2 linked regions of the Lepisosteus oculatus genome follow. The protein of the gene in region 1 interacts with the protein of each later gene in a biochemical or structural test. Links are inferred from orthologs where the notes say so. Each region holds a gene or a part of one and is shown on either strand. Other genes may lie near its edges.

Region 1 (9,274 bases):
AGCCTAGCCTGGCATGTAATGTACCCATGGAGGGACATCTTGGCACTTTTTTAAATTATTATTATTATTATAATTATTATTATTATTACTGTTAAAAAGACATGATAACACCAGGTTTGGTTTGTATCCTCTGTTTTCCTTTGATAAAGTGAGGAGCCGTAGAAAATGTGCAGTCTTGAAAGAATTTTTTTTTTTTTCATTTGTAGCGAAGAAAATGAGGAGAAGATCTGGAGATTGAGGGTGATAAAAAACTCACTCATCTTTAGGGGACATCCGGGCAGCTCCTTCAGCCACTGGCACATGTGAGAATTGAGATTCACAACAACCAGTACACAAGTGACTGGTTACCTGTAACCTATTAAAACCGTGACCAGGTGGGGCATTTCTTTACCCTGAGGGTTGTAGGGCTCTGGGACAAGACAGCCACGTGGTTGAAGCTGATACCCTTGCTTCCCTCACGAAATGGCTGGATGCCATCCTTGGATCCATAGACTACAAACTGCCAAAAGGCCTGAACAGGCCTCTAATTTTTTTTCTAACCTTTTTCGTGACCTTGTTGAAAATTGAAAGGAGAAGGCTTCGGGGGAGGTAATTGCTTGAGACAAAGAAATACAATAAATAAAATGATCTTGGTAGATCATTTCAAAGTGGAGAAGGGGGCAAAGTTACATTCTAGAGTTACTGTTGATGCCTGTGGTGTCATAGCTTCGAGTTTGACTTTATCTGTTTTGGGATCAGTGCACATTGAGATAAGCACGGCTTTGCATGGTTTTAATCTTTTAAAGATCAAAGAGTGCGTGAAATAGCGTTGAAGGGTTTCTTTAGCCTGTTACAGAAAAACTCTTTTCACTCTACGTCAACAGAGAAATGGTTGACTGACAGCAATGCCATTTGAATGGACAGTCCGGTTTCCCAGTCTTTGGTAGCATCAGAGCAGAATCGATGTGACTCTGTCTTAGGCCTGCAGTGCAGGTTCAAGTATTTCACAAATCGCTTCTCCGGCAGTGTGCTGGCAGGCAGTGTCTGCAACTTTCTTAACATGGAAATTTATTCGGAGAAGCAATCACAGTAAACTTGCTAATGAGAATTCTGCATAAGCTCGCACTGTAGAGATAATTTTTTTTTTTTGCAAATGCATAAAAAATGAGTTATTGGTGGCCTTTGTTTAAAGTGTGCCTGCCTTTCTGGGCTCTGATCAGTATGGGCATGTCAGGAGAAGTCTCCTCAGTTGTTCAAGGCAAAAATAGAATTAGGAAAACCGTTCCCTGCGGTTGGATCCTCGGTTTCGGAGGGGGGTTGTGTGAGCTTGTTGCTCCCAGGGGCCCTGATGCTGGGAGTGACCTCCAGCTCACTTCCAGCCTCCCCCTCTCCATTCCTCCCAGCAGTCCTCCAATCCCTCAGCCCAGCAAAGACGTTTATCTTGCTGGGGTAATTGAATCTGCATGAATAATGAAAACAAACATCAAACAAAATAAAATCAAGTCTCATTTGTAGAATAAAGAAGATGAACTAGTAAGCAAGACTCTCAATAACTCATGTTGTCAAAGGCTGTTCATTCTCCCTCAGAGATTTTATACTATATATGAGATATAATGCAACAAAGGCTAACATTGCATTAATTCTGCGAGAGAAGTATCAGTTTAGTGTCAGGCTATCCACACAGTTAGATTGTGTATCTCTACAACCTTATTGCAGCTCAATTTAAAAAAAAAAGTGCCATTTAATTTTTACAATGCTATTTGCTTAACTGAATGTAGAAGTGGAATTTTTTCATCCTTGAAAAATAATACCAGTTATATGACCGGAACTGTATATACACCCAAGTGTGGTTTCTGTTTATGAGTATCAGGCTACGATCAGAGTGTATACATAAGGATGCAGCTTCACGTTTTTGTAGATACTGTAGGCGCTGTCCTAAAAGGTCATCCACGACAGGCCTAAGCACTGGACTGCATGAACCATTACAGGATTTTAGGAGGATTGTTTTTTGCTCAGATTGTAGATGTGCATTGGAGTCGGAGTTCCGTCAAGAGTGTTACATTCATGCAAAAAAATTAATGTGAGCTGTTTGCTATACTCTGCCTCTAGGGCGAAGGCTTTTGAACACTGCTGATTCCTTTGTTTAAATGGATGGCAGAAATGTCCTCAACTCCTGCTATGCTTGGCTGAGAAATTATTAATGGTCTTGAGCTTTACTTGAGCTTTGGAGAATTTTATTTGGGGGGGAGGGGGGGGATCAATTTTGAGAAAGACACAAGAAACGATTTTTTGAAGTGTCGTGCCAAAGGAATTTCTTTGGCCTCACGTATGTTATTATGAAGGCCATGCTTTAATCTGCGAGTGCAGGAGAGCTCTGTGCTCTTCCTTGTGTGGTGAAATTATCCCGATCAGCCAATTTGCAGCCCCCATCACTTCACCAGAGGCACATTCTGCTCTGAAGTGAGAGAGCGCTTCCCTCTTTGTCACAGGCGGAAAGAGTTGCTGGATTCCTGCCTTCAGAACTGGAAACTGATGGGAAAAAATGAAAAAAGGTTCAGTCCCCTGAGTGGAACAGCACTGGTGGGAAACTAAGAAGAAAAAATTCAAGGCTTAGACATAAATCAGAAGTTGTAGCTGGGTGTGACTGATATTTCTGAAGGGCAAAAAAAATATCAGGGTTTCTAAAGCTTGTTTTTAATATTGCATTTTTCCAAAGCTTCATTACCCCGTGCTAACATGGAAATCTCATGGTGTAATTCAAAGCATCCATCAAAAAGCCTGCGGTGTATATGAAACAAGTCCTGTAGGACATTGTCAAACCACCAAAATGGTTTGTTCCAGCTATAGTCCCATCCCTCAGGCAAAAGTCCAGTAAATGTGATCTACATTATGTATTGGCTGTCTGGATTAATTCAGATTGCTAATCGCAGTATCTTACTGTGGGACCCAGTGTCCTATTTTGTTTGTGGTTGGTGTTGAAAACTCTTTCAACAGTGAATTCTGAAGATGTGATCTCCCTCTCTCTGCAGGTTATTCTCTTTTTCCTGTTTTTTATACAGTCATTCGAGTATGACTTGGACAGCCTGTGAGCTAAACCCTTCGTTGCACTGAAATAACTGTTGTTTTTGTCAGTGACTGAGCTCAGGTAAAGTGCCACAGCACTTGCTAAATTCTAAGGAGACGGGTTGCACTCTATTCACTTTATGTATCAGTACAGCATACTGAATACATATTTTTATGTCCCTCTTAATGCAGAAAAAGTCTTGCAGCAATCCTCTTTCTCTTGCTTAGTCTGAGCTCATCGTTTTGGCCTTGAGAAAGCTTGTTGCAACCTTCGAGGATTCACTGTATTTGCTTCAAAGATCAGTCATGAGTGATTTGAAGTAATGCAACTTGACACTGTCTCTCTGAGCGTCTGTGTGCTGCTGGTATGCAGAAGACCTCCCTTCAGATGATATTCGACAGTACTGAGAGATTGTCTTGACAGAGAAGGTCTTCATCGCTGGGGCCTGCGTTGCGAATCAGTGCTGTGCTGTAAGAACAGGCCATGTTTCTGTTCCAGCCTGCGTGACTGGAAGGCTGTGCTGGGTTTTTTTTCGGATGGGAGATGTCACGTCACCCTAATGCCCTCCCTGCTCTCCTCTGGCCAGCTAGGAGCTATCAGGTAGAGCTTTCACTAGGAGGAAGTCATTCCTGTCTTTTGCATCCTGGGGTTGTTAACCGAAGGGACAAACGTTTTGATCATATATATTTTCAAAACTTAGAAGTACAGTATGCAATGTGTTCTCTTTATTTTGTTTATTGAGGCATAATATTATTATAGTTCAGGTGGGGAGCTGCGTCAGCATGCGTAGGCTGCAAAAGAACAAGTAATAGGTTTATTCCGTGCTGGAAAGAGAAGAAATATAACACAATGTTTCAGCTGTGGAGACTTCTTCAGGTCTGACCACTACAATATTCTGTGCCAAGATGTCCCCTTGGACGCTTTGAGGCAAGCATAGCTCTGTTGTTCTGGATCACACTGTACTGTACGTGCTGGATCATTGTGAAACACTAGTGGGTATGCAGACCCTTCGATACTGAAATGACCAGGGTCAGCAGTCTTATCACCTTCTTAACTACAGCTTAATATCTGTTTCTGCTGCCAGGAATTGATGCTTACTATTCCAGCGACTGTTATATCTGAATGTTTCACCGCCTCAGGAACTTGCCTTGTCCTCAGCACTTTTTTTGTCACAAAGGCCCAATTCAAAATAAAGTGCTGAGGACAGTTGGGATTACACACACACACACAGAGAAAAAAAAGTTGAACGCCTTTTTTTTTTTCAAATCTTGGTATCACGCAGTTTTCTCTGTCAGTGGCCGGGCGTTTTGGAAAGCAGGCCAGCGGGTGTAGAATTCTTGTTTACAACAAATGGCCACATGACTTTGGGTACATGTCACTCTTTAAATAGTCTCCCATGTGAATGATGAGCTGTTATTAAACTGTGCCTGAACTAACTCTATTAGTTGTATTAACATTCCTAATTAAACACCACTTCATTAACTCTCCATTTCCTGTGATGCCTTGACAGTTTTGTTCTGATGTTAAGAATTCCCCTGAATATGACGTCTTAGGCAGACCTCCCTTTGTACGCATGCAGTGATAATCAAGGTTACATTCGAAAGCATTTTGATACTGCTTATGTTACAGTGGGAGTGCCCACGAGTTACAGCCTCTTTCATCAGAGTACTTAGTGTACTGAGCTCACTACAATAAGATGTCTTTTCCAAGCACGGGGACAAACCACCAAACCAAAATCTCTTGTTTCCTGGTCTGAAGGAGTTTGCTCATTTGGTAAGGAAAACAAAGAATGGGATTAAAGTGGGATAGACATACTGTACCTCTCTGATTTTCCATATCATATGCATTTATGAACACAAGAGATAAATCTTTGGGTAGAAGAAATCCTGTTAGGAACTGACACGCCGCTGCTACAGTATGTGAGTGTTTTGCCTACAGGTATAGCATGAGAATCTTTAAAAGGGGTTGAAATTGATTAGTACACTAAGAAAGCAGTGAAAATGCTGGGGTTTTTTTCCTTTTGTTTTATTTGGGCTGCAGTCCTGTTTAGGATATTTTGGGCTGCAGTGAACAGTTCTAGGACAGTGCTACCACTCCGCCCCCCTGATGTCCTTCGTGTCCTTCATCCTCCAGGTTTCCCCTCTCTCAGGATCGCAGTCCAGAGCACTGCTGCTGCTGCTCCTCCTGGACACGGCAGCTCCTCGCCAAATCCAAACCCCAAGGCAGATGCATGTGGGAGACCATGTGTTTTGGGCTTTTTCTATGGAAACGCACCATTGCTTTCCAGCATTTAATGATCCCTTCTTAGGAACATTATCATTAAGATTATTATTATTTAAAAAGGATAAATTCATTTGCAATTCAGCAAATAAAAGTTCATTAGCACCCACAGCTTTAATGCACTGGGAACAAAAAAGGTTTCCGAGCTCATTGGCATGCAGTTTTTCATTGCTAAATTGATCTCCCTTCTCAAAGATGTCGAAAATTCAGGCTAGATGCCCCCCTTCCACCACGTACTGCAATTAACAGGAATTCATAAGGGAGCAAGCCGACTTAGGAAAACAGCAACTCTTGTTTTTTTTTTCCGTCCAAGAGTTTCATGTACTGCCGGTTTGTTACTTTCCTGTGCTAACTGCCACTGTTGTGTCTAATGGAAGCCCCTTCCTTGACTCCTGTTGCACCTGGTTCGAACATGTCAGCATGCTGGTCATCCTCCTGAACTGCGTGACCCTGGGGATGTACCAGCCCTGTGAGGACCTCAAGTGTCAGTCTGACTGGTGTACCATCCTGCAGGTGAGTGCAGACGGAGAAGTACTCTCCATACCTTCTACTGGGCAGTGGGGCAGCAGGTTCTCACGTTTTGTAGGTTGCTTCGTACAAGAAAATACCTCTCTTGTCACATCTTTAGCAAAGCTTTACAGCCTTAAAAGTATAGACCTACTGTATAGTTAATTGAGTCTTTGCTTTAGCTGAAGCACGTGATCCTTCTTGAAACCATTTTCTATGTGTACTGTGCCTAACAGTTTGAGCCACACCAGCTAAAAAAAATAAACCCGTAGAGGAAAATATCTGATGGAAAAAGTCCAGTTTATTTAGTTTAGCTTTTGGGAAGAATAGCACAAGAAAAAAAAGCCCTGTCTTTGGTGCAAAGATAGAAATTTGCCTCACTTCATCTTGGAGTTCTCCATATGAATTCTGGAAAAAACAAAAGAGCTCAGGAATGGTTTTTTTTATTATATTTATTCAAAAAATTAACATACAGGATGAAAACTTCATCCACATTGCAGTGTCCTATTTGGCGGACTATAAGCAAAGGTGTTTTGAATCTAGCATTACAGTTTGCAAACAGGTAGTAGGGAGTGGATTTAGTTCCTTGAATCATTAAAAAATTCTGGGACTCAACATGAAGTGTCAGAATGCAAAAATCCCAAATTTCCAAGTGTTGGCGTTATGTACCGGACAGTACTGGACCACTTCAAGCTCTGTCCTAGACCCACTGTTCTGTTCAGACGTACAGTACGCGCATTCTGTTAAATAGTGGTTTTAACTATTCCTCGGGCGACATTTTCACCGAATTAGGGAGCTTCCTCTGCAGCTCTGGCACATGTCAAGCTCTGGTGACATCTTACGGTGACAAATTCCCAGGCAAAAGAAAGACTGATTCCACCCTGCAGATATATCGGTTGGTGACCCGTCCCTTCTCCCTGTATTCTCGTTTCGGGCTGGTTACTGTGACTGTGGGAAAGTCTTGAGGTTTGGGCTGGAGCCAGGATGCCATCCAGTGCCATCGCAGTGCAGGCAGCTGTAGGGCAGCAGGAGTGGGCTGGACATTCTAACTGCTCCACTCCTGTGTCCAGGAAGAGGACTTTGTTTATCTGGTTCTTGGTGGTTGTTAACATGTGCATATAAAGTAGTATCTTCTCTGCATTTAGTACTTAAAGGGAGGTAGCTGAGGTTGTTGATAACAGGATCTTTAAATTCTATCCCTCATAAAAAGGTCAGCCTGTAGTTTCCCAGTTTCTGTCAACAAAACAGTACAAGAAACACTGTTTACGAAGAGGCACTTCTGTTGATCTTGCACACTTGGTTACTTGTAGCTCATTTGTTCATATAGTGCAACTTGTTATACCACATTTGAACATTTGCACAGTCTTCCCTAAGCAGTGAGGGGTGACAGTGACTGGAGTTTGCTCATCTGTAATTTATAGTGTTCCAATAAAGTCTTGTTTTCCTATTCCTAGTGGTTCTCTAGCATTACGATTACCTCATTATTATTTTATTCAAAGTTATTTTACCATCCTCCTCCCTATTTCCAGAAGCCCTGCCAAGACTTACCATTAAAAATCTCGATCTGTTGACTTTGTGGCACAGAACCCTCAAAAATGAACTGTTTTGGAAGGAATCGTAATGTCAGACACTGCTGATGGTCCAACTCATTGTTTTTCTTTGCAGGCGTTTGATGACTTTATTTTTGCCTTCTTCGCCGTGGAGATGGTCATCAAGATGTTGGCTCTAGGGATATTTGGGCAGAAGTGTTACCTGGGCGATACGTGGAATCGTCTCGATTTCTTCATCGTTATGGCAGGGTGAGTGGTCCATAAGAAGAATAACAATGCAGAACGCCTGTCTCTCCTGCGTTTCAGGGGAAAATCCCAACAGTAGAATGGCCCTGAATATTGGAAAGTGCTGCCAATGTGTGCTCTGGCATTTACATGTGGCATAGTTTGCAAATATTACATAAGCTTATCCTTAAGAGAATTTGGCCGGAGAGCCTGTCTCTTCTAATGTGTTGTCGCCTCCGGAGGAAATGTAGAAGTTGTGACGCAGAGAGCTCAGCACTTGCTAATGAGCTGAGCAGGGCTGAAGTTGTCTGTGAAAATGTTAGGTAAACGTCGTTATCCGTCTCAGTTATTCATGAATCCGTTTCATCACAGCTGAGCGCTCGATAATTATGCATTCCGCTTGTTGGATGTATACGGTGCACGCAGAGGAACACGCATCGGGGAAGAAAGGAATCAAACCAAAATACTCAAAGAAAAAGAGAGGGAAACAATTAGTAGTCTCGTTGCAGAGCACTTTAAAGACCAGCAGTCCCCACTGGACTGAGAGGGAGAAAAATGTTCTACTGGCCTAGGAGTCCTGGTCCCCCTCAGTGTTAAAAGCAAGGGAAGAGAAGGCTGGGAAGGCTGTGTTTAATGTCACCACTAATGTCAAGTCAACACCTCACTCTGCCGCTCAGGAATCCCCATGGGTTCTGAGCTCTTGCCTGCACGACACTTTTAAAGTCCAAGACAATTCTCGCTGCCTGCTTGTTCTCTCCTAATTCTGCTTCCTGATTAATTTTACCTGTCTCACATCAAAAGCAGCAGCTGTTCCTGGTAATTTTGCGTTCAGTAATAAGGGAAGCACATGTCGAACACTTTCTCCATCTGCATGCAGTATTGGCTCAATAGGAAATTGTGTTACATTTTGAATTACTGATGCATATTATGAAGGCTTATCATTCATTATAACTTTGGGCCTTATTTTTCAAAGTTATTCAGAGGCATTCAAAAGAGTAGCACCACGTCTGTGCAGTTTTACAAACCCCTAGACCAAAAAAATAATTTATATTCTAAAAATATGCCCACGGATTTGACTGTTTTTGTCTTCTGCCTGCCAATTTCTTATTAGGGGATTTCAGTGAACCCTTACTCATCAGTTAATCAATTTTCCACTGGTAGAAAATCAGGACCTAGGTGTTTATAAAAGACCCGATCTGAGACGACTGCCACATGCGCATGCCTTTCCAGAATACATTAAATGTTTAGGAATGGAAATATGGGATTCCATTAATATTTATCAGATACGTATACAATGCAGCTATTTTTTTCAGAGTTGGTGAAGTATACTCTACAAATCAGCATACAGTATATACAGCAATATACCATTTGTCACACACATAAAAAATAGTCTTCCTGAAGAACTGCCAGGAAATTGAGCAATATAACCTTTTCTGCCAGTGTTCCGCAGCTGTCCCTGATATACAGTCTAAGTGCTGATCCAGTGATGTTCCTCCTTGCTGTTTCTGTGCAGGATGATGGAGTACTCTTTGGATGGCCACAATGTCAGCCTGTCTGCCATCCGCACTGTGCGTGTGCTCAGGCCACTCAGAGCCATTAACAGAGTTCCCAGTAAGTGCCTTTTCTGCTCAAGCCTTTTATTCGGAAACACATGCTTTTGGAAAGGAAA
Region 2 (9,790 bases), on another chromosome or scaffold:
GAAGCAGGGAGAGATATGGAGAAAGGCAGAGAGAAGTGGACAAGGTGGAGGAGATGGAGAGATACTGTACTTCTTCATTCCATGAGACACAAGAGTGTCTGGAGCAGGTGGACAGCATACTTAAAAAAAGGCACCTGTTTTCATGAAACAGTTGCTTCCACTCAGTCTAACACTTAGTTTCTCAAAGTGGACTCGGCAGTTCACAAGTGCAAAGAACCAGCTACAAACTCTGGGTAATACAGCACTGCAGTAACACTGTAGTATAGTACTGGAGAGTAGAATATTATGTTGTGCTAAACTGTTTTGTACTAAACGGTAGAAAACACTACACTACACTGTAGCAAATGCATTGTACTATAGCTCATGGTACTCTGCTTAAAGCTTGATTATATCTCAACCACAGGACCTGCTGCCACCCTTTCACCTGAAGTCAAGACCACTCGACCTTCTGTCCTGTCAGAGCTTGAATGCAGGAGGTGGCAGGCTCTGATTCTGGCATGGATGAGCACAGAGGCAGCAGTGAGGATTGCTGCTTCGCAGTGCCAGGGCTCAGGGTTTAGGTCCTGGGGTACTGTCTGGGTGGAGTTTGCATGTTCTCCCCGTGTTTGCGTGGGTTTCCCTCCTGGTGCTCTGGTGTCCTCCCACAGTCCGAAAGCATGCTGGCATGAAGCACCTGCCCGGTGACTGACAGCCCGGTGTGAGTGTGTGTGTGTTGGTGTCAGTGTGTGTGCCCTGTGATGGACTGGCATCCTGCCCAGGGTGTATCCTGCCTTGTGCCCATTGCTGGATAAAGCAGTTAGAAAATGGATGGATTCAAGGTTGCAGAGTTAAAATAACATGACCAATAGGACATGTTCCTCTGACGAGAATGAAGAAATGTGCCACGTATGTTAGTTTTACTATGTGAGTAGCGGACAAACCAAAGCAATCGGAAAAAGTAACTCATTTTTGTAAATTAAGGAACATTTCTTCTAACTCCTTTGCTTATTTTCTGTATAATTGGAGTAGCTTTCATGCACTTATTGTAAGTGTGTTACTCACACTTGTTATTGCCTGAACAGTAGAGCAGGGATTGTGCAGTAGGATATATTTCATATTATTTGCATTTGAAATGGCATTGGTGACAGTTCCTATTGAAGTTAGTGGCCAGGGTAAGCAGATATGTGATCCTTCCACACGCAGGCTTAAGGCTATTGAAGGCATTGGCACACCTGAACCGGGCCCAACAGTGTGGCACAGCTGTTCCCTGTGTTGTATTGACCTGCATCCCCATGCAGGGGGTGGGATTTCTGACTCTCTCACTCACCCAGTGCTTCTCTTTCTCCCTGTCGAAGAAGGCCTCTTCCCTCACTCCCTTCATCCTCCTGTACTTCTCCAGGTTGTTCCTCATCTCCAGGTGGCTCGGGTTTGACACGAAGAAGGTTTGGGCGGCTGACACCGCCTTCTCCAGCCTGCCCAGCTGCAAGAGAGGAGGAGGAGGTCAACACAAAACGCAAGGGCCCTACAGGCTGAGTGGAGGTAATAATGATTCCATACACTATAGCGCTTTTCTGGACACTCCACTCAAAGTGCTTTACAGGAAATAGATCCCACTGTCACCACCAGTGTGCAGCCCCACCTGGATGATGCACCAGTACTCTCCCCACACACCAGCTCTCAGTGGGGAGGAAAGCAAAGCGATGAAGCCAGTTCAGAGATGGGGATTATTAGGAAGCCATGACTGGTAAAGACCAGGGTGGAAATTTGGCCAGGACACCAGTTACACCCCTACTCTTTTTGAGAAACACCCTGGGATTTTTAATGACCCCAGAGAGTCAGGACCTCAGATTAATCTCTCAGCTGATGGACAGTGCAATTTTTTTACAGTACAGTGTCCCCGTCCCTATACTGAGGCATTAGGACCCACACAGACCACAGGACCAGCGCCCCCCACTGGTCCCACTAACACATCTCTTCCAGCACCAGCCTTAGTTTTTCCCAGGAGGTCTCCCATCCAGGTACTGGCCAGGCTCACACCTGGTGAGCTGCAGGGGGGGCTGCCAGTTGTGAGCTGCAGGGTGATACAGCTGCAGCACAACGAGAGATTCACACTGCGCTGAGAATGAGAAATCAATGCAGGCAAACAGATACACAACAGACAAACGTGAGACAGGTGCCCGGAGTTACTGTATAGAGACAAGACGTACAGTAAGATGATGAACCAATCAGGGAGATATACAGTTACAGACTCAGCCAGCAGTGTACACCCATAGATAAGATGGCAGACACAGAGCCAGTACCTTGTAGTAGGTCACCTGCAGGTAGTTATAAGGATTCCGGTTGGTGAACTCATACTGGATGTCCAGGGAGACAGGGGGGATGGCAGAAGGGGTAACGCGCTGTTCCAGGCAGAATTTCAGACACTCAGCCCGCCGCTGCACCAACCCAAACACAGCCAGGTCCCAGAGACTCCCATCCGCGCTGTCTATCGAGCATCAATAATCTTGAGTCAGTCCCACTGCTTACTCCCGGGCTGAACCGATTACAGCCGTATCACCCTCTGACCCGTCTGAGAATTAAGACAGACACTCCACCACCCCCCAGACATCGTCATTGACAGTGTGGGTCATAGTCAATAATGGGTAGTCAGACACTCTTCCAGCAGCTAATCAGGTCTGATTACCTTCCAGCTCCCAGCCATCGTCATTGACAGTGTGGATTATAGTCAATAATGGGTAGTCAGACACTCCTCCAGCTGGTGATCGGGTGTGATTACTGCCAGAGATCATCAGTGATACTGTGGATCACAGTCAATAATGGATAGTGAGACATTCTTCCAGCAGATGATCAGGTCTGATTACTGCCAGAGATCATCATTGATACTGTGGATCACAGTCAATAATAGATAGTCAAGATACTCTTCCAGCGGCTGATCAGGTCTGATTACCTGCCAGCTCCCAGACATCATCATTGACAGTGTGGGTCATAATCAATAACGAATAGTCAGACACTCTTCTGGCTGCTTTATCCATTCCTGACATTATTGACTCGCCTCACGGTTGACAGTCTGTCAATAATCCATCATTAACGCTCATCCCAGTGATAACCTCCAGTGCAGGATGATCTCGGGGGAAAAGCAATCTGTGCTGATCGGTTTCAATTGGGTACGATATTACAGTTGCCCAGGGGTCCCAGACTCGGGTCCTGAAGGCTGCTGGGTCTTCTATGCTTCTCCAGCACAGGCAGAGATCATGAGCTAGCTACTGCCTGACCGGAGGATTTTAAAGCGTGACTCAAGTCACAGGAGCTGTGAACGATAGCCCAGACACCGGCAGGGGGTGTGACAGGAGTAATAAGTAAATTTGGGGGCTCTGGAGGAGAATAAAAAAGCAGGCGTTTCTTCAGCTGCCCTGAGATCTCTCTCCTGTACCGTCTCTCTCAAACATCGATGGCCGGTTTTCAGTCAAGTGCCTTCTTCGGTGTCATCAAAAACCAATGACAAAAACTCGCACCCGAGCATTCGGGAATCGTTACCGATCACCCGTCAACGAAGCACCAGCGCATCATAAATAATCTGTCCGGTCCAGTCAGTCCACGCCCTTCAGTGACCGAAGTTAAAGATCAGCAGTGGGCTATGCCAAGCCAGTGTTTAAAGAGCACATGCATCCCCACCGGCGCGGTAGTTACCCAGGCGAGCGGAGTCCCCGGCCGCCGCCGCCTCGCACTGGTCGTGACAGCCGCGTCGGACCTGGAGCAGCTCGGCCCGGGTGGCGATGGAGCGCTCCAGAAACTCGGCCGCGCGGTCCCACTCCTGCGTGAAATACGCCCGCACGCCCGAGTAGTACAGGCGGTCGTAGGGCAGCAGCTGGCCCCCGACGGGCTCCAGCAGGGCCCCGGCGGCCCGGGCAGAGAGGGAGAGGAGGAGGAGGAGGAGAGAGAGGAGAGGGGAGCCCGGTGCCACGTCGCTAGCTGCGGTGTTTCCTCCGCGAAACGCCATTCGGATTCCGAGACTGGTCCTCCAGGAGATGGGAGGGCAGAGAGATGTGGAGGGAGAGATGTAGTAAAATTAAAGTGTGTTTTTTCCCTCCTCTCTCTCTTTCTCCTGGGACGGGGGGCGACAGTTGTGGGGAAGGGCTCAGAGAGGAGGAGACGGGGCTGGTTTTCTGCGGTGTGGGAGAATTATTGAAGGGGGAGTGTCGAGTTACAGCGGAGAGGGGGGAAGGACCGTGTCGTACCCTGAAGACAGTATCCTCCTGCGCGGTGGGGAAGAATGCTGTGCGAGTTCAGACCGACCGCATTCCTCAAGCCCTTGAAAGCGCTCTGCTGACCCTCTTCTTCTGCCCTTCGGCCCAACCACGTCGCAGCGAGACCCCTGCAGTTTGCGCCGTCGACAGAACTCACGTTTAAACGCCGGCAAAACGAATTTCATTCATCGTTGATTTCATTTGGAAAAGTGTTCAATCTGTTTTTGTGTCGAGGCTACGTGCCACTTTCCCTAGTCTTTCTACCCCCCCAATAATTATACAGTCATTATAACACAAATGAGGCACAAAGGGTACTCTTTTCTCAGCTCTCCTGTATTGCATACGCAGCCGTCTGTCATTACGTGGGAGGCAGCGCCAGTAATTCCCCAAGTGTGCAAGAATAAACGGGAAATTGTATACACAACGATGCACCACCCCATAGAGGAGTATTCGTTAAGGTACCGACACAAACTCGCTCTGTCTCGCTGCGTCTCTGGGGAAAGTCGCACCATCTTCTCGGGAGAAACGGAGAACGACAGACAACGACAACATACGCCTTGTGCTGCCTAATCTGCGCACGTATTTGAGTGTGGGTCTTCATCCTGTGTTAATAAAGGCACGTTTTCGCCCGGTCGCTGACGTGATACATGAACTCTTAAATTTAAGGAGCCGTTACTAGTTGCAATACCTTATGCTTAGTACGTGGCGGTCGATGGATAACTTGTTGCCTTTTTAAGCATTACGTTTACTGCAACTCGGTAAGGCAAGTCGTGAACAGATAATATTAATCAGTTATCTCAGGGGGTGTCGCAGTGTACGGGAGCAGAACCGCTTAGTAAACCGAAATAAACGCCATAAATGTGGCTCATAAGCGCTGGACGGTTCTGATTCTGAACATTCGTGTTGGATTAATGTACACAATTGTATTTAATTTTTTTTTACTACGTGTTTTTTCCTACTACTATTTTACGACACAACACGTAAAAGGCAGTAATTAGTATGTCTACATTTGAATCTGTGAGTCCATAGAAAGTCTACACTGCTTCTCTGACTCGGAACTTTTTCCGAAGCGAACTTAATGACCGAGGCGACCCGCTCCGCCCGCCGCTAGGTGGCAGTGGCTCTTCTCCGGGGCAGCCGGAGTGACTTTTCCGCTTTCTCATTGTCGGCGCAGCAGCATTCTCGGGATCAGCCGTTACCGTATTTTAAGATATATAAGGAACGATAAGATTATTGTTGAGTTCAACATAGGACAACTTCCAAATGTCACTAGAATTAATACAGTAACACTATGTGAGTTCCTGTGTACAGAGTCTGTTTTACTTTTACTTATTTATGTATATAAATAATTGTGAGAGCCAACTAGAAATTGTTAGGTTTTTAATACCGTTTATTATTCACTTCTGTCCAGAAAGCTTTTAATGCATATTTCACAATCACTTTTTTCCAATTAAATGCTATTAAAATTAACTGCCACCCACTATTTTCCTTCGGCATAAAGCTATTAAGAGATATTCATCGAGATTAGAGCAATTAAACAAAATTTAATATAAAACGTTTAACATATTTGTTATTTGTACATTCCCATGAGTTAAGCTTTATCAGTGGATTGGATGCATAATGAAATGCGTTTTATGCCTGAGGATGGAATTATGAGTTAAGACAAAACGGGACTTCCTTCGTACTAGTTGTATTACGGTTAGGCGCGCGTCCGCGGCGGACTCGGAGTGTGTCTGGCCTCAGGAGCGCGCCCGGCCTTACAGTTTCCAGTGACACAGAGAGACGGACCGAGCCGGAGAGAGAAAGAGACCAACCAAAAAAAAAAAGAGGACAGAAAAGAGAAGGACGATGTCGGACCTAGGCGAAGTGCTGATGTCGGTATTGTCCACGATCCGTGTCCCACGGCCCGGGGACAGCGTTCACAAGGAAGAGTGCGCTTTCTCTTTCGCCAGTCCGGTGAGTCCAGTCCATCCATAGTCTTTCCCTCTTGAACCCCGTCTCTGTCTCGTCTGGCCACGTCTTTGTTTCTGTCTTCCCCGCTCCTGCTTTTCCGGGCTATTTCTGTGTGTTTGTCTCTCTTGTCTGTCCCCCCCCGCCGGCCCGCCTTGTCCAAAAATCTCCCCCTCCTTTCCTATCGTCTGAATATCTGTTCACCCGTCTTTCCCAGAACCGCATATCCACCCATTTTCGCGCTGTGTTCTTTCGTTCCAGTGTGTTTCTTTACTTCTTTCTGCCTTCATTTTCTCTCTCTGGGTCTATTTTTGCCCATTTCTGCCTCGTCTGCTCCTACTATCCCTCCACTCCGTCTCTGTTAGGCGGTGTAACTCCCTCGGGTTGACTTGGGAGTAGTGTTGTTTCCTTTCTGTAATTCATATTTGTGTGAGGCGCTTGCTAACATCTGTATCGCCCCTTCCTGACCGAAAAGTTGTGTAGTAGCGTCTGTCAGCTGTTCTGTGTAGACCATTACATGTCTGTGCATGTTCGTGTGCCAGTTTGTGTGTGTGTGTGCAGGTCTGTGTGTGTGTGCCAGTTCGTCTGTGTATCTGCAGGTCTGTGTGTGCCAATTTGTGTCTGCAGGTCTGTATATGTGTGTGTGCCAGTTGGCCAGTCCATTACAACACACCCCTGTAGTCTGAGTCACTGTTTCTGCATGCTCTCCGTCTCCCAATGCAGTATTCATGCACTGTAGTTTCCAGGCTCAGCCAAACAGTGTCCCTGCCAGGTACCATCATCTGACAGATAGGGATTCCCTCTGCCAAACTGTCAGAACGCCAGGAATCGGCCTGTTCCCTCCTTCCTCTTCTGCACAAGCGTGTCTTGAAGGTGTTCCTTGGAGAAATGCACCACAAAAGCTGACCTGTCCATTGCGGGAGAGGTTTGGGTTTAATTGCAAGTCACTCTAGCAGATTTCCAGGCCTTTCAGTGTTGAGCGATCTCCCGCTCAGTAGAAAAGGAAAGCCCTTCAGCTGAAGTCTCCCTTTTATAACGGCTTCATCTAATTCAGAGTCGAGGGGGAGTCTGTCCCAGCAAGCAAGGGGCACAAGGCAGGGTCCACCCTGGACAGGACGCCAGTCCATCACAGGGAACACACACTTACGCCAGGGCCAAGTTATCCCAGAATCCAATTAACTCACCAGCATGTCTTTGGACTGAGGGAAATCAGATCCCCTTGAGGAAGCCCATGTGAACCCAGAGAGAACGCGCAAACTCCCCACATACAGTACCCCGGGAATTGAACCTAGGGCCCCAGCACCGCAAGATAGCGACGCTAATCTCTGTGCTACTGTTAGACAATGTCTTTGGACCGAGAGAGAATACCCACATTAATATGCATCTGCTTCTGGCTCTGTTCCCGAGCTGAGCCAAACTTACTATGACTAAAACATGCTTCAAATGCTCGGGTGCTGACCGGCCACTGCTCCAGCTCCACAGAGCCCTGCAGGCGAGTCAGCACCAATTGGAGGGGGCGGAGCATTTTCTCCTTGACATCACCGCAAGTGATGACATCACCGCAGAGGGGTCCCTTTCGAGTGTTTCTGGACACAGCTCGATGAGTTCCTGGAATCCATCAGCCCCTAACTACCACGCGCTCTAGATGAGCCGAGAGGCCTCCTCTGGCTTGCGGTCGGTCTCACCACCCTCGCTCTCGCTATCTCTCTCCCTCCCAGGACAGCGAGGGGGGCCTGTACGTGTGCATGAACACCTTCCTGGGCTTCGGTGCTCAGTTTGTGGAGAGACACTATCGCCGGACCGGCCAGAGAGCCTTCCTCCACATCAAGAGGACGCGCCGGCCACAGGTACGCCCCCATCTGTCATCTGTCATAATAATAATAATCCTTACACTTCTATAGCTCTTTACTGGACACTCCACTCAAAGCGCTTTACAGGTAATGGGGATCCCCTCCACCACCACCAGTGTGCAGCCCCACCTGGATGATGCGACGGCAGCCATAGTGCGCCAGAACGCTCCCCACACACCAGCTCTCAGTGGGGAGGAGAGCAGAGTGATGAAGCCAGTTCAGAGATGGGGATTATTAGGAGGCCATGATTGGTAAAGGCCAGGGGGAAATTTGGCCAGGACACCGGGGTAACACCCCTACTCTTTCCAAGAAACACCCAGGGATTTTTAATGACCACAGAGAGTCAGGACCTCGGTTTAACGTCTCATCCGAAGGAGGGCGACTTTTTTATTTCCAGCTGGGGGCTACACGTGTCCTGTGAAGCGCTTGGAATGGCGTGTCCAGAAAAGCGTTGTATAATTGTAAGGAATTGTTTTATGTTATTAAGTTTGTGGATGTGCACCGCCATGCCGGGCCCCCAGCCTCTGGTACAAGTACTAGGGCTGCCCGACCTCTTGGTGATGGGGTGACTAGCACCCCTCTGGCCCCAGTGCTCGGTGTATCTCTCTATACAGACATCTCCTGCTGTCAGGGCCTGGCAAGCACACATGGAGTTTCTTCTCCTAGAAAGGATCGTGCTGCTGCTTCAGGGATTTTATTTTTTTACCGGGCTTGCATGTAATCGTCCGTTATTTTCGTTTTTTGTCCTTGCCCCTCATGGGAATACATTCCGTATTGCCCCAGGGTAAGTGTTTTCTGACCTTCTGTCAATGTTGTTGGCTCGCAGAAGGAAGAGGAGAACGGATCGGGGGCGGGCGACCCTCCGAAGAAGAAGCCCACCCGACTGGCGATTGGTGAGCTCGTGGCGGGGGCCTGACGAGGCTCCGTGTTCGTCTCCTGTGGGCAATTGCTGGGCAAAAGAGGCAGCAGAGTCTGCGGATCAGCCCCTGCCCGTCAGGAAATCCACTAGCCAGTTGCAGATAGAGTTGCATTAGCCCAGATTCCTGAGTTTTAGGACCAGCTTGGTGGGAACAATTGTGTTGAAAGCCAAGATGTAATCTATAAATATAAATAGTCTGTATAAATCTGTGTTTCTTAGGTGTGTTTGTAGTGTCTATATTAGAATCTGTTTTGATCTATTGTGTTAGATGTCTCTCTAGGGTCTATATTAGAGTCTCTATTGATCTGTGTGTGTGAGGTGTGTCTCTAGTGTCTATATTAGGGTCTGTATTAATCTCTCTGTGTATTAGTGCCTATAATTGGGTCTGTATTTCTGTGTTAAGTGTGTCTATATTAGGATCTGTATTAATCTCTGTGTTAATTGTGTTTCTAAGGTCTGTATGAGGGTGTGTTTTAATGTCTCTGTGATAGCTGACTTCCGAAGAGGTATGTTAAATTCTGAATTAATTCATCTTCCTTTTGCTCAGGAATCGAAGGAGGCTTTGACGTGTCTGAGCAGGATCAGTACGACCAGGAAGTGAAAGTTGTTATCTTTCCTGAGAGACTGGAAGTGACCTCAGAAGACCTGGCCAACATGCCTGATGTTGTCCGCGAGAGGGTGAGGATTTTGGAAGATGCTCACACATGGCTTTTTGAAGTTTACCTGCTTAACTCTTTTTCCTTGCCATGGAGAGTGTACAATGTGTATTTTGGACATTTAGGTAATTCCAATGATTTATTCAGTCTTATTTGAAGGAAATAGTAATCATCATAATAAATTGGTAACGC

Evidence for each region.
Region 2: the proteins of cacna1ha (region 1) and usp5 form a complex in vitro, tested with the Homo sapiens proteins (2 studies listed by BioGRID, with this or other methods). The link is inferred for Lepisosteus oculatus from reciprocal best matches to the Homo sapiens genes CACNA1H and USP5.

What each region holds. Positions count from the first base shown.
Region 1 is NC_090714.1:12,662,849-12,672,122, forward strand, and holds the start of cacna1ha (voltage-dependent T-type calcium channel subunit alpha-1H), read left to right. Parts: upstream 1-5,639; 5' UTR 5,640-5,743; coding exon 5,744-5,836; intron 5,837-7,495; coding exon 7,496-7,629; intron 7,630-9,118; coding exon 9,119-9,216; intron 9,217-9,274.
Region 2 is NC_090718.1:2,639,755-2,649,544, reverse strand, and holds the start of usp5 (ubiquitin carboxyl-terminal hydrolase 5), read left to right. Parts: upstream 1-5,715; 5' UTR 5,716-6,071; coding exon 6,072-6,179; intron 6,180-7,891; coding exon 7,892-8,020; intron 8,021-8,849; coding exon 8,850-8,916; intron 8,917-9,489; coding exon 9,490-9,620; intron 9,621-9,790. Other genes in the region: p3h3 (prolyl 3-hydroxylase 3), read right to left, coding at 1,307-1,459, 2,280-2,464, 3,667-3,976. UniProt on the Homo sapiens protein: Deubiquitinating enzyme that participates in a wide range of cellular processes by specifically cleaving isopeptide bonds between ubiquitin and substrate proteins or ubiquitin itself.